Linked DNA regions of Macaca mulatta. The main gene of each other region encodes a partner of the protein of the gene in region 3 in a complex. Links are inferred from orthologs where the notes say so. Each region holds a gene or a part of one and is shown on either strand. Other genes may lie near its edges.

Evidence for each region. Proteins that work in one complex are often made in the same cells at the same time.
Region 1: DR1 (region 3) and MBIP share a complex: the UniProt entries of both Homo sapiens proteins name them as parts of the ADA2A-containing complex. The link is inferred for Macaca mulatta from reciprocal best matches to the Homo sapiens genes DR1 and MBIP.
Region 2: DR1 (region 3) and YEATS2 share a complex: the UniProt entries of both Homo sapiens proteins name them as parts of the ADA2A-containing complex. The link is inferred for Macaca mulatta from reciprocal best matches to the Homo sapiens genes DR1 and YEATS2.

The regions. Positions count from the first base shown.
Region 1 is NC_133412.1:109,439,158-109,443,376, forward strand, and holds the start of MBIP (MAP3K12-binding inhibitory protein 1), read right to left. Parts: upstream 2,808-4,219; 5' UTR 2,665-2,807; coding exon 2,536-2,664; intron 1-2,535. UniProt on the Homo sapiens protein: Inhibits the MAP3K12 activity to induce the activation of the JNK/SAPK pathway. Component of the ATAC complex, a complex with histone acetyltransferase activity on histones H3 and H4.
Region 2 is NC_133407.1:95,835,396-95,839,407, reverse strand, and holds the start of YEATS2 (YEATS domain-containing protein 2), read right to left. Parts: upstream 2,808-4,012; 5' UTR 2,598-2,807; intron 2,514-2,597; exon of another isoform or gene 2,381-2,513; intron 1-2,380. UniProt on the Homo sapiens protein: Chromatin reader component of the ATAC complex, a complex with histone acetyltransferase activity on histones H3 and H4. YEATS2 specifically recognizes and binds histone H3 crotonylated at 'Lys-27' (H3K27cr).
Region 3 is NC_133406.1:146,925,381-146,929,587, forward strand, and holds the start of DR1 (protein Dr1), read right to left. Parts: upstream 2,811-4,207; 5' UTR 2,629-2,810; coding exon 2,409-2,628; intron 1-2,408. UniProt on the Homo sapiens protein: The association of the DR1/DRAP1 heterodimer with TBP results in a functional repression of both activated and basal transcription of class II genes.

The DNA.
Region 1 (4,219 bases), on a different chromosome or scaffold from region 3:
CAGAAATGAAGATGAGAACAGAAGCATTTAGAAGTCCATATTAGACAAGCGTAAAGATACATGAAATTTCATGTAGGCTGCACTGGCAAAGATTATAATATGTTAAGATTTTACGTTAAAGTGAATGCATTCATTTACATTATTTTAATTCCTATAAAGATTTTGTTAGACAACAACCTGTATTATGTATGGAAGTAACCTATTATTGTACTTTCATAGTCTTCAAAGAGATCTACAGTTGATCACAGAAAACTTAAGAATACAGCTTGGGGATAAAGCAGGCAAATCCTCAACCAAAGCAAAGTATCACATTTTCTAGAGAAAATAACTTATAGAAAAATAAGTCTTAATGTTTCGTTCATAGTGTCATTTCAATTCAGCAGAATTACATAAGCTTCAAGTGCAATTAAGAATAACTGGTCTTTTAAGAAACTCACATAATAATGTCACAAATTAATTTAAAACTATTCTAATACACCTAACTATTCATTCAACAAATTCATTATTAGTAATATGAATTCTATGCATTTTGCCCTACAGAACTTGGAAGAGTAAACCATTCACTCGAAAATCTCTATTAGTCTGCTATTAATATAGACTATTTAAATAAATATTTTCAGTAAACACTTTACTAAATTAATACAAAAATCCAAGCTAAAAATAAGTAAGTGTTTAGCTTGGTAAGATGGACCATCCAGAGGCAAGCAAAAAGGTTAAAATTAGTAAATTTTGTGATCTTAAGTAAAAAATTCTTTTTAACATTCAGTTTTATGTTTCCTACTGAGATCTAATAATACAATGATACTTAGGGATGACACAGGATGAAGTTAGGCATGTTACAACATACCTTCTAGAAATCTTTTAAAGTGGTTGCAAAAGAAAATACTGATTTCTCTGGGGGCAATTTTGCAAGTGTGGAACTCTGGCTTTCACTCTTAATACTTCTCAAAATATAGAGTATTATGAAAACAGTTTGCATTTAACTGATGAAACAATCATATTTTTGACACCTGTATAGGAGGTCCCTTCACTGTGTCATGGTAAAGTAACCAAATATTTACTGTCAACATTTTTGACAGGTGACACAAATAAATTGTAATCGCTTCTTTACTTGTAGAGTACTTGAATGTTTAAAATTTTCTAATGAGTTTGAAAAATTCAGTATGCTAAATGTTTCAAAAGAAACGTTTAAATCATTGCTCAGTATTTTTAAAAAATATTCCATCTTCTGTTAATAGGTGAGCATAAACTTTTTTCATCTTGACATTAGAAAATAAACAAACTTAAGTTCCAACGTCGCCATAAAAAGTTCTCTAACTTTTAAACCATTTAAAAGGTCTTGGGTCTTAAGACTGGAATATATAACAAAACACCCCAAGCCTTTAAAAAACGATTTCGGTAAGCACTTGGCAAACAACTGAATTTAAAAGTTGTATCTTTAAGCAGACTCCATTAATAATTGCGTCATTACATAAAACCGTTTAACTTACAGTAATGTTCTTTGTAAGACACAACACACTATGATTTTTTAAAATAGTAACTTTTTAAAAAGCTGATTCTCCATCTACTCAAGGCTTTAAAAATAATTTTCACAAATCAGACAAATGTTCTATTTTCATAAGAATTTACCATTATCTTTGACACAAATGCCTGCCGTGTCCACATGCGCTAGTGCCAGCCTCAAAACAAACTTTTACGGCTAGAAAATGGTCTATGTAAGATAGAAAATATTTCCTTTTAAAAGGCAGGTAAACAAGCGTACTTTTAAATTGTTTCTCATTTAAAACTTGCTTTTAATTTTACACCGTGAAACGAAACAGTGACTTGATCGAAGAAGCCCACTAAATTCAAAACCAATTTTACTATGGCATTTCTGCAAAAGCGATTTATCAGTCAGTTAAACTAGTTAATAGTTAAATAACGACAGTTCTAAACGCAAACAGCATCAACGATGGATAACTCATCCAACTTTACGCTAGAAGTATTTTAAACGAATTCCTTTTACTTTCCTCCCCATTTGAAAGGGTTATAGATGCCCAAAACAGCCCCAAGGAAAAAAGAAATAAACAAAACCAAGTAACTCATAAGAACAAATTACTCCTTCCCCCCGGCCAAGAAAAAGCTAATAAGCGCGCGCTTTTCTATAAATCTCAGGCCTACTGACCAACCAATTCCCATAAAGAGTAAGTTGGAGGAAAAAGGACCCTGAGCGCTAGGCGCCTCCTAAATTCGCAGTGAAGCTTTTCCACATTCATTCTCCCCAAGCCTGCCTCTTTCGGAGCCGGGTTTTCACTTAGACCAACCTCACCCACTCTTGGAGAGGACAGCTGCAAGGTAAACTACTCGGCTACGGGTACCGCCGTCCTCCTCACTCCGAGCGAGGCGGCTGGGCCCGCGCTCCTCCCCGACCTCGGCTTCAGGGACGGCATCCCACACTTCAGCAGGCCTAGCTGCCCCCGGCCCCTGCTAGAAGAAAAGAATGGAGGGATGGGCCGGATGGCTTCCATATTCCCAGTCCCTCCGGCCACCTCTCACCTGTCCAACCAGGGTTTGTAGGGAGCGAAAGATTTCGTAGAGCACCTCTCGGGAGAGGCTAGGGCTGCATCTTCGCTCCAGGCTCCTGTCACCGCTGTTCGGGCGACTAAGCTCCGTGGCAGCAGCCATGATGCCTTTTCAGGCCGCCCCACCACCACCACCACCACCACCACCACCACCACCACCACCACCACCAACACCACCACCAACACCACCACCAACGTTTGCTCACAACCCCGCTCCCTCCCTTCCAGCTTTAGTCGCTTGGCGATGACGTACGACACGGCGTCTCGTTTAGATCAGGCTTTGAGGCCCCACCCTCTCTATGTGACTGACAAGCACGTTACACCAATCAGTTGCAACTGCGACATTACGCCGAGGCTCTGAAGTGGGAAATTGCAGACCAAAGCTAGGCTGGAAGGCTATATTTGAGGTGGTTATTAGCGTTGTGGTCTGTTTAGCGTTATGAAGCCTACCTTGACTCCCAGATGTTCACTGTGAATCTTGGTAAGAGGAGACATAGTTAAATTTTGTAGTTTGAGTCCCCAAATTAAAAGTTGACATTTTAACATGGCGGTGTGGAGTGGTTCTGGAGGAAGCTTGCTGGTCAGGGATGGAGTGGTGCCCGCAAGTGTTTCTAAACACTGGAAAACTCACACGGAATTGTCATGGTTGGATAGAACATTTTCATCTCTTCAAGTTTTAAGTTGTTGTTTTGGAGGCAGAGTCTCACTCTGTCGCCCAGACTGGAGTGCAGTTGCGCCATCTCAGCTCACTGCAACCTCCGCCTCCCAGTTTCAACCTGCCTCAACCTCCTGAGTAACTGAAACTACAGTTGATATTCTCCATTATAACTGTAGAGACTCTTAACCCTAAAATTGTTTCAAAGAAATGAAACACTGTCAATATAATCCAACAGGAATTTAACCTGGATAAATAATATGCAACCACAATCTTTGAAATTAGGACATAAAACCGAATTGAAATTTTACAAAGTATTATTTATCATAATAGCTTTATTATAAAGATGTTCGTGGGGTTTTGTAATCTTTTAGTCAGACTCCAATATTTTTAAAAAGTGTTATCCAATTTTAAAAAGTATTACAAGAATTTTTAGTGTCAAATTTTATTCAAAAACACTTTAAGAAATAAACATCAGCTGAGAGATAAGGAAGGTGGGATTTAAAACTCTTCATTCTGTTAATAGTCTAATGCATTTACAGTAGAGAAAGCAAAGGTGGAAACTTGCACAATGTGTATTCTTTAGTTTTAGGGTAGACTACATTAAAGGGAAGGACTAACGCATCGAGGAACTAGGATAAGGACGATGGAGATAAAAGAACTCCTTTGACCTGTCCCTAGGGAGTCTCTTAATTAGGCTTTCATTTCCAAAGACAAATGGGATCACCAGGCTTGACAGAATCTTGGAAAATCTTTTCTGTTCCCTTGTTGGCAGCAAGATATACAACTGATATTCCAGCCTATGTCTACAGCCAGAAAGATACTTCGCAATGTCCAATCTCAAATTGAGCAACCTTCTTATTCAAGCCACTCATCCCCATATCTAGCCTAAATTCATGATTCTTTGCCATGTTAGCATGTTTTGTTTGCTTCTGGTTCTCTTGTTAATAGAGAATAATTGTAATGGGGTAACTGTAGGTTTTTGTTCTGTACCAAATTAGCA
Region 2 (4,012 bases), on a different chromosome or scaffold from region 3:
AAAAAGAAGAAAAAGAAAAAATCTGCTTCATAAGTCTTGTTTTCTGTGAGAAAACTGCATCAACTCCCACCATCTACTTTCTATCATGATAGAAAACAGACTGAAAGCAGAGCAGGACCAAAGGCAGGGAGATGTGGAACAATCCAAGAACGTGGCAACGAACATTCAAGTAAAAATCCATGGTTGATGAGAAGAGGACAGGACCAACTATTTCTGAGAATCTATCCTAAGGAAATACGGAGCAATGTACATCATACGTGGGCTGCACTCAGAGATCTACAACGTAATGTTAGTTCTCCTCTTCCTATGGATTTTATAATAAAAAATAACCCACCGCAAACTATCATGCATCCGCTGAATGAACATGAAGCATTGGAAACTGAAAAACATGTGGGGAGAGCTCTGAATGCTGTATGTCAAGCTACCTATTTTTAATATCTAAAGAACCTTTGACAATCAATTAGGAAATAACAAAAGATGCCAGAGAACAAGAAAAGAAATTCGCAAATAGCCAATAAATGTGAAAAAAATGTTCAAACATACTAGTAATCAATAAATGAAAAAAACACAAGACATCATTTTTCATCGATCCAGTTTAGTTTTGGCGCAGATGGAAATAGGGGCACTTTTTTTCTAATTTGCACTCATTAGTTTCATTTCCTCACATTCCATTAAACTATTCTAGTCTGGTTCCCACCTTCCACTTCCAGAACTATGGACAGGAAGACCAATGACCAAAACCAATGACCTCCGTGTTGCCAAATCCAATTGACAACTTTAATGAACATCTCAGAAGCCCTGATAAAAGGACCAATTCAACATCTTCCAGAAATATCTCTTTTGGCTGCCATGATACCAGCTTTTTCTCCTACCTCACTTGCTGTTTCCTGTGTCCTTTCCTCAACCTTCTTCCTCTGCCAGACCTACAGGTATTTGAGTGTCTGAGCCCCTTTCACTTCTTCACGCTTCCCCTCAGTGATCTCACACAGCACCATACCTTTGAATGTCATCTATGTACTGATCACTCCAATTTTTTTTTTTTTTTTTTTTTTAAGAGACGGTGTCCTGCCTTGTAGCCAAGGCTGGTCTAGAACTTCTGGGCTCAAGCGACCTGCCTCGGCCTCCCAAAGTGCTGGGATTACATGTGTGAGCACTGCGCCCAGCCACTCCGATTTTTATCTCTAGCTCTAGCCTCTCTCTTCCTTGAGTTCCAGCCCTCTACATCCAACTGCCTCAACACACCGACTTCATAACTAATAAGCATCTAAAATTTAATACATCCAAAATAGATTTCGATATTTTTCCCACCTCAAATTTCTCTCTTCCATTCTTCATCTCAGTAAACGGCACCACCATTCACTCAGGTGCTCAAAACAAAAATCAAAAAAGCAAAGACTCCCACCATTCCCTCACCAATTCATTTCCAAGTCTTGTTCATTCTACCTTCAAAACACTTAAAAATCTGTTTACACTTCCCCATCTCCCTGCCATGGGCCTAGTCTAAGCTACTGCAAAGAGCACAGTAACTGACCTCGTAGGTTCCTCCCCAGCCCTCTTCCTCTACATAGCAGTCGGATTATGCTACTCGCCTTCTCAAAACCTTCAAAGGTTTCCCGGAAAAACTAAACTCCTAATCAGAGCATCATCTGCCCTATCTTTTAAAGAGTATACACAAACAGGAATATACATCCAAGGGTAATATCTCTAGACCGTAAAACTGCGGGCATTTTTCTCTTGCTTTGCTTGTATTTTTAAATTTTTCTACGCTGAATACTCTCTACTCATTAAGGGGAAATGATATTGCTGAATACTATATGATATTATGGCGCATTTTGTACATGTGAGCGAGAAATGGAAAACGTGGGTCAACTCTGTAACTGCTGAAGGCTTAGATGAAAATACTAGCAAACATCAAACTAAAAAAATGATGTGTCAGGCCTATAAGATCGCTGATGGCATTTCTCTTTCTCTGCTTTCCATTTCTTAACATAATCACATTCATGATGGGGAGAACCTCATTGTCTTCTGCAGTCTGGCCACAGCCCTCCAAGCCAGCCTTTCCTGCAGGAGTCCTCACTTTCCGAGGCTTCCACTCCGCCCCGCACTGCCCGCAGCTCCGGCGCGTTGGCCCCGGCCCCCTCCCTGGAACCCCAAAGCCTCTCTAACCCCTCCCCTCCATCCCGGGAGGGCCGGTGGGGATGGCGACAGGTTGGAGGGGCATTCCAGGATCCTTTCGGTAAACCCACGACTTTCTGGTCCTGGGGCCAAATCTTGCCTCCAAGGCCAAGAGCTTAACATCCCGAAACCTCCGGCCGCTGAGGCTCGGGGACCCGCATCCCCTCAGCGGAGCGCCCCGCTGAAGAGGAAGCCCCCAACTCACGTTCCGATTCCAGGCTCCCGCTTCTGCGGCTCCTCGGCCCGCACCTGGGATCCTCCCTGCCCTCCCCTCCGGCCCGGGGCCTCACCGGGTCCCGCCGCGGCGCAGCCGGCCGATGGGGGAGGGGCGCGCACGTGCCCGCGCCGCCCCCGCCCAAACAATGCCCCAGACAGCAGGGCGCGCGCCCGCGCGGTCCCTTCCTGCGCCCGCCAACACTCACCCTTTCTCCGGGTCTCCAGCTGCAGCGCGGCCCCGCCGGGCGCCGCGAGAGGGTAGAGCGAGGTGAGGGAGCGGGCGAAGCCCCGCGGAGCTGCCCAGCCACGAAACCCCAGCGACCCCCGCAGCCCGCGGAAGCACCCAGATCGGTGGAACCCGCCCGACCCGTTCCGCCCCGCACGTCAGCAGCCGGGCGCGTCGGGGCGCGCGCGGCGGCGGTGGTGGCGGCGGCGCGCGCGCGCGGCCTCGGGGCGGAGCTCGCAGGGATGAGGGCGGGGCGGGGCGGGGCTGGTCCAGGCTGCGACCCCGGCCCGCGAGGCCACTTCCTGGGCAGTGTGGGCGTCGATTCTCGCAAAGGCGTGGTTGTCCATCACTTTTCTGCCCCAGAAGGTGGCGAATTTCAACCCCAAGTTTGACAGAATATTCATTCTGCCGGTATGTATGAGCTTCCCTATTAATTACAATAGTAACAATGATTTTTGTGTGTGCCATCTTTGTCCCAACCCATGTGCTAAGTGCTGCGTATACAAATAACAGTAGTTATTGCTAGCCCATTTTACAGATGAAGAGATTGAGGCAGGGAAGGCTTGAGACTTATCCCAGTCACACTAGTGACAATCCAAGTCCAGTTTTCCATCTAAATATCTCTTGAGGCCAACATTCTCTTTCGTTCTAACTCTACCACCCTCTACCCAAGACCCTGTCATCTCTCTGCCCAGGACTATAAATAGCCTCCCAACTGGTCTTCGGGGATCTTCTGTTCCCCTTCAATCCCTCCTCACTGTATAAAGATTTACTACTGGAGCTGATTTTTTAATACTTTACCTACATGTTATCAAATTTTTATGTATTTAATGTTTTTATCTACACATAATACATGTAAATGGTGTTTTGTTTTTTGTGGTTTTTTTCTTTTTTTTTTTTTTGAGAGAGTCTCCCTCTGTTGCCCAGGCTGGAGTGCAGTGGCATGATCTCGGCTCACTGCAGTCTCTGCCTCCCTGATTCAAGTGATTCTCCTGCATCAGCCTCCCAAGTAGCTGGGATTATAGGCATGCACCACCACGCCCAGCTCATTTTTGTATTTTTAGTAGAGAGAGGGTTTCACCATGTTGGCCAGGCTGCTCTCAAACTCCTGACCTCAGGTGATCCACCCTCCTCAGCCTCCCAAAGTGCTGGGATTACAGGCATGAGCCACCACCCCCAGACTAATTTTTTTTTTTTAAAGACAGGTCTGACTATCACCACAGCTAGTCTCACACTTCCAGGCTCGAGAGATCCTCCTGGATGGGCGTGGTGGCTCACGCCTGTAATCCCAGCACTTTGGGAGGCTGAGGCGGGCAGATCACCTAAGGTCAGCAGTTCAAGACCAACCTGGCCAACATGGTGAAACGCCATCTCTACTAAAAATACAAAAATTAG
Region 3 (4,207 bases):
AAAAATTTTTTTAAACTAAGTTATTTAATAGATTTACTGGTGATCAAATTGGTTCAACTTTAACTTGCATTTTACAGAACTATCTCAGAATGCTTAATTTGTTCAGACAAGATAAAGCAAGGTGGGAAATGAACAAGTGAAATGTCCTAAAGCAAAGTCCAGTTCATTAAACTTACCACTAAAAACTCAAACTTCAACATGTGAGAATCATACCACTTTAAAATGTACATTATTTATTCCACTTGGATATATTCTACATTCCTAATCAATGCTGACAGAAAAGTATAAAAATGTCCTATCTATTATGATTAGTGTACAGGAACACACTTCAAACACCTAAAACATATAAACCTTAAGAATTTCTTTAAAAATTTAACCTCTCAAAACAAAACTTCTTTGGAATAATTAAGCAATATGAGATTATAAATGTATAAAGTCTACAACCCCAATTAGGGAGAATTCTTGGGCGAAAATGTAGATTCTTATCCACCTAACAATAGCATAATACAAAAAAAAGAGGTAAAATTTTAAGACTATAACACGTCAATACATGATTTTCAAAAACAAATCATCTTCATTACACAATGGAAATGCTTTTTCACTATAGCTTTCTGACTCACACATTAAACTGAATTTAGCATATTCCAAAGTTGAATTATTTAGCATACTGCTTGCTACAGCTGCACTTCTATTCCATCATGTCAATCAGAAATCTAAATATATCCTAGAAAAGAATTAACTCTCCCCAAGAAGACAGACTGTAATGTGTTATTAGGTTTTTGGAACGATCCCCACTTCTGTAGTGTAAACAAATATTTAGGCAGACCCTGTTGAAATCTTTTGCAATTTTCATTAGAAAGGCAATGTTGATAAAAAGTTCTTTTTCCTTTTTATGAGTTGTAAAAAGAAATTACAGCTATCTGTGCTGGATAATCTTGTGAAAGACTTATGACAGCAATCACACATACAATGTAAAAATAAATACACAAGAGAAAAAACAGACAACTTGGCTTTCATTTTACTTGCTAGAGTATTCAGCACATCAAGTAGAAAAAAAAAAAAAAAACTAGTACTAGTTTTAAGAATCAAATATGCTTTTTCCTAGGGATTTTTCTCCTTATGTACTGAAATGGCAGGATATATTTTAAAACTACTTTCAAGACGTCATAAAGGATTAAAAATCAATCATTTAATCCTTTTGTCAATACTGACAGTAAAATATTGGATATGGTCAACATAAGCAGATGTGTTCTCTACTTCAGTACAACAGGCAAGTCACATTTTAAAAAGTTAAAGTATAAAAATTAAGTGACAGACAACCACCTGCCTACCAAAATGATTAAAATTAACCATTTTTTCCCTGGTTTCACAAGCAATCAATACTTTTAATTAGATTATTACGAAAGGCAAGTTCTCACTTCAAATTGAGAACAACTCTTTCACAAGAGTACATGTAAAAATATCGCAAAAGGTACATTCCCGAAACATTATGACTAGTAAATATGTTTCTCCTCTCTGAAACCATTAGAATACAGTCCCCCAAATCCCTATTACGGGACCACAACCTTTTCAGGATAAAAGAAACTGTTGAAGCTTTCAGAAGTGCTGTTCAATAAAAGCCTAAGTGTATGCATCCAAATAAGAATGACAGCAGGAAAGGACGGGGAAATTTTCCGTTTAAAAAAAAAAAACTTGCATAAACTTTCAATCAAAGATTTTAAAACTTATCTCCACAGAATAGAACAAAGCAAACGACATAAAGGCAAACAAAAAGAAAAAAACAAAAATTTAAAGTTCACCCTTTTCTTACAGAATGGACCAGGAGTGCTTTCGTAACTCATTCATGAACGTACCATCAAACCATTTTTAGAGCAGAAAACATACCTCCTTTTATTCAACAACGATAAACTTGACAACGTTGAACACATTGTATATTAAGAATTTTTTAACTCATGTGTTCAGAAAATAAATCTTTTCCTCTACATTGGTGAAAGGTCAGGTGGGGAAGGGGCGCTCTGTCTCCATCCATACTTGAAGTTCCTCTGTCTGAATTTTTAATTTTCCAAGGGAGAACTTCTGCGTTCCTTAATTATTATCTAAGTTCAACTTCAGGCAAGCAATTCCTGTTGCTTCGGCTTACCTGGCTGTAAAGTGAGATCACTCTTTATGTTTTGGGGACGTTGACCTAAATGTTTGCACTCCTTACGTGTATTCGCTAGATGAAAAGTACTGCAAGAATGCTACAAAGGGATTGTTTTTAAAGCACGGGCTACCTACATGCCAGTCTGGCTTTTTCATTAAGTTACTTACCAGTGAAGAGGAATGAAGGCTTTGACATGAAAGCGTCACGCGATTAGCAGACTGCTCCCCTAGACCCTCATTCAAACCAATTTCCACACATGACTTACCTTGTATGACATGTTCTGGTGAGATGGTCTTCTTTTCCGATTTGTTACAAATCTCATTGGCTTCAGAAGATATAAGGTGAATGAATTCAGTGCAGCAGTTCACCACCAGCTCTCGAGCATCGTTGGCCACCCGGACATTAGGAAGAGTCTCTTTGATCATTTTATTGATAGCAGCTCTGGGGATAGTGAGATCATCATCGTTGCCAGACGAGGAAGCCATAGTACCTTCCTGTTTCTCGCGCCCCGGCTTTTAAAAACTCCCCGGCTCTGGTCCACTACTCCACGGAGATCTCTCAAAAAGCCGCCCTCGGAGAGTGATCCCGGGGGGTGCTTCGCGAAGAGGGTGCAGAAAATGAACGGAGGAGGAGCTGGCTTGAGGGCTGGGAACGCTCGCGTGTGTGAGAGATTTAGGATGAGTTTGGGAAGAAAGTGGGGGCCTGAGGATTCTAGAGAGAGCACAGCCCAGGCTGAGGGGAAAGCGCGGTGGTCCGGAAATTTGAGCGGCTGGGGAACCACCTTCGGGTCTCCTCAGAGGGGCGGGCACTGTCGCCTAACTGGTCCCCAACGGCGTCGAAGAGGCAAGATCCAGGGGCACTGGCCTCGCCGCGGTACCGGGCGGGTACCCAGCGGGCTCGGCTCTATAGAGCCCGAGGCCCCGCTGCCGCTGCCGCCGCCGCCAGCAGCCGTTGCCGCCGCCTCGGCCAAACCATCCTTCAGACACCCGCGCCGCCGCCTCACAACATGTCCGCCGCTGCCGCTGCTGGAACGGCGACGGCCGCCTGGGAACTAATATGGACAGAGCCAGGCACAGTGGGAGTCGCAGTGGCTGCCACCGTGGCCGCGTAACCCGAACGCAGATCCTGGAAGCCGAAGCGGCGGCAACGGTGGTCCCTCCAGAGGCCAGGGAAGATTTGCAGGAAGCCGCTCCCGACACCCTTTGCGCCGCCGGAAGCTTCGTTCCTCAGATTTCCCCCTCCCTCCCGGACCGACTTCCGGATGTGGCTGCCGCCCTTCCCCCACCCACGCTGACGGGAGCCGCCCGTTCCCGCTGCCAGCAGCTTCCGCCTGCTGCGGTCCTGGCAAGCACCTCGGGATCCCATTCCTTCACAGGGGCCCTAGCCGGGCAAGCGCGCGCGTCACTGTACCGGAGAGCTCCAAGCACGCGCTTGGTCAGGGGCCCGGACGCTAGATCTGGGAAGGGGTGGTGGCTGGCTAGATGGGCGAGGAAGGATCGTCTCTACCCTCTCTCCAGCAGCTGAGGCCTCCGAACCCATCCCTAGCCGGATTTGGGGACAGAGGAGCGCTGGTATTGATAAAAGAACTCTCTTTGCTATTCTTTTAGGAGCCCAAATGAGGATTGAAAGTGAGAAGAATGGGGCCTGGGCTTGGGAGTGGGAGGTGGGGAAAGCACAGAATCCCGTGTGCCTGTTTCTGCGTCGTCTGGAGAGAAAGCTTTTGAAGATGTCTAATAGACCTTATTCGGGTAAAAGCTCTCTAAAGTCCTCCACCTTTTTTTTTTTTTTTTTTACTGCATGGAAAATGAAACAGAGAAGTTACTTGCCTAGAGGCGACTAAGTCGCCTAATAGATAAGGAGGAAAGTAGAAGTCAGTTCCAACGTAGTGGAAATGCATGGCGTACAATGAGCCGTATTAGAAGGTTCCCATTTAGACAGTTTTCATGGTGTATTCCATGTTGGCTTCTACAGGGGAAAAAAATGTTAGAGCATCTTAACTGTTTTTGCTTCTTTCCATAGTGACTAGTAATATCAACAGGTGTCAAGATCTAAACAGAAATTGCA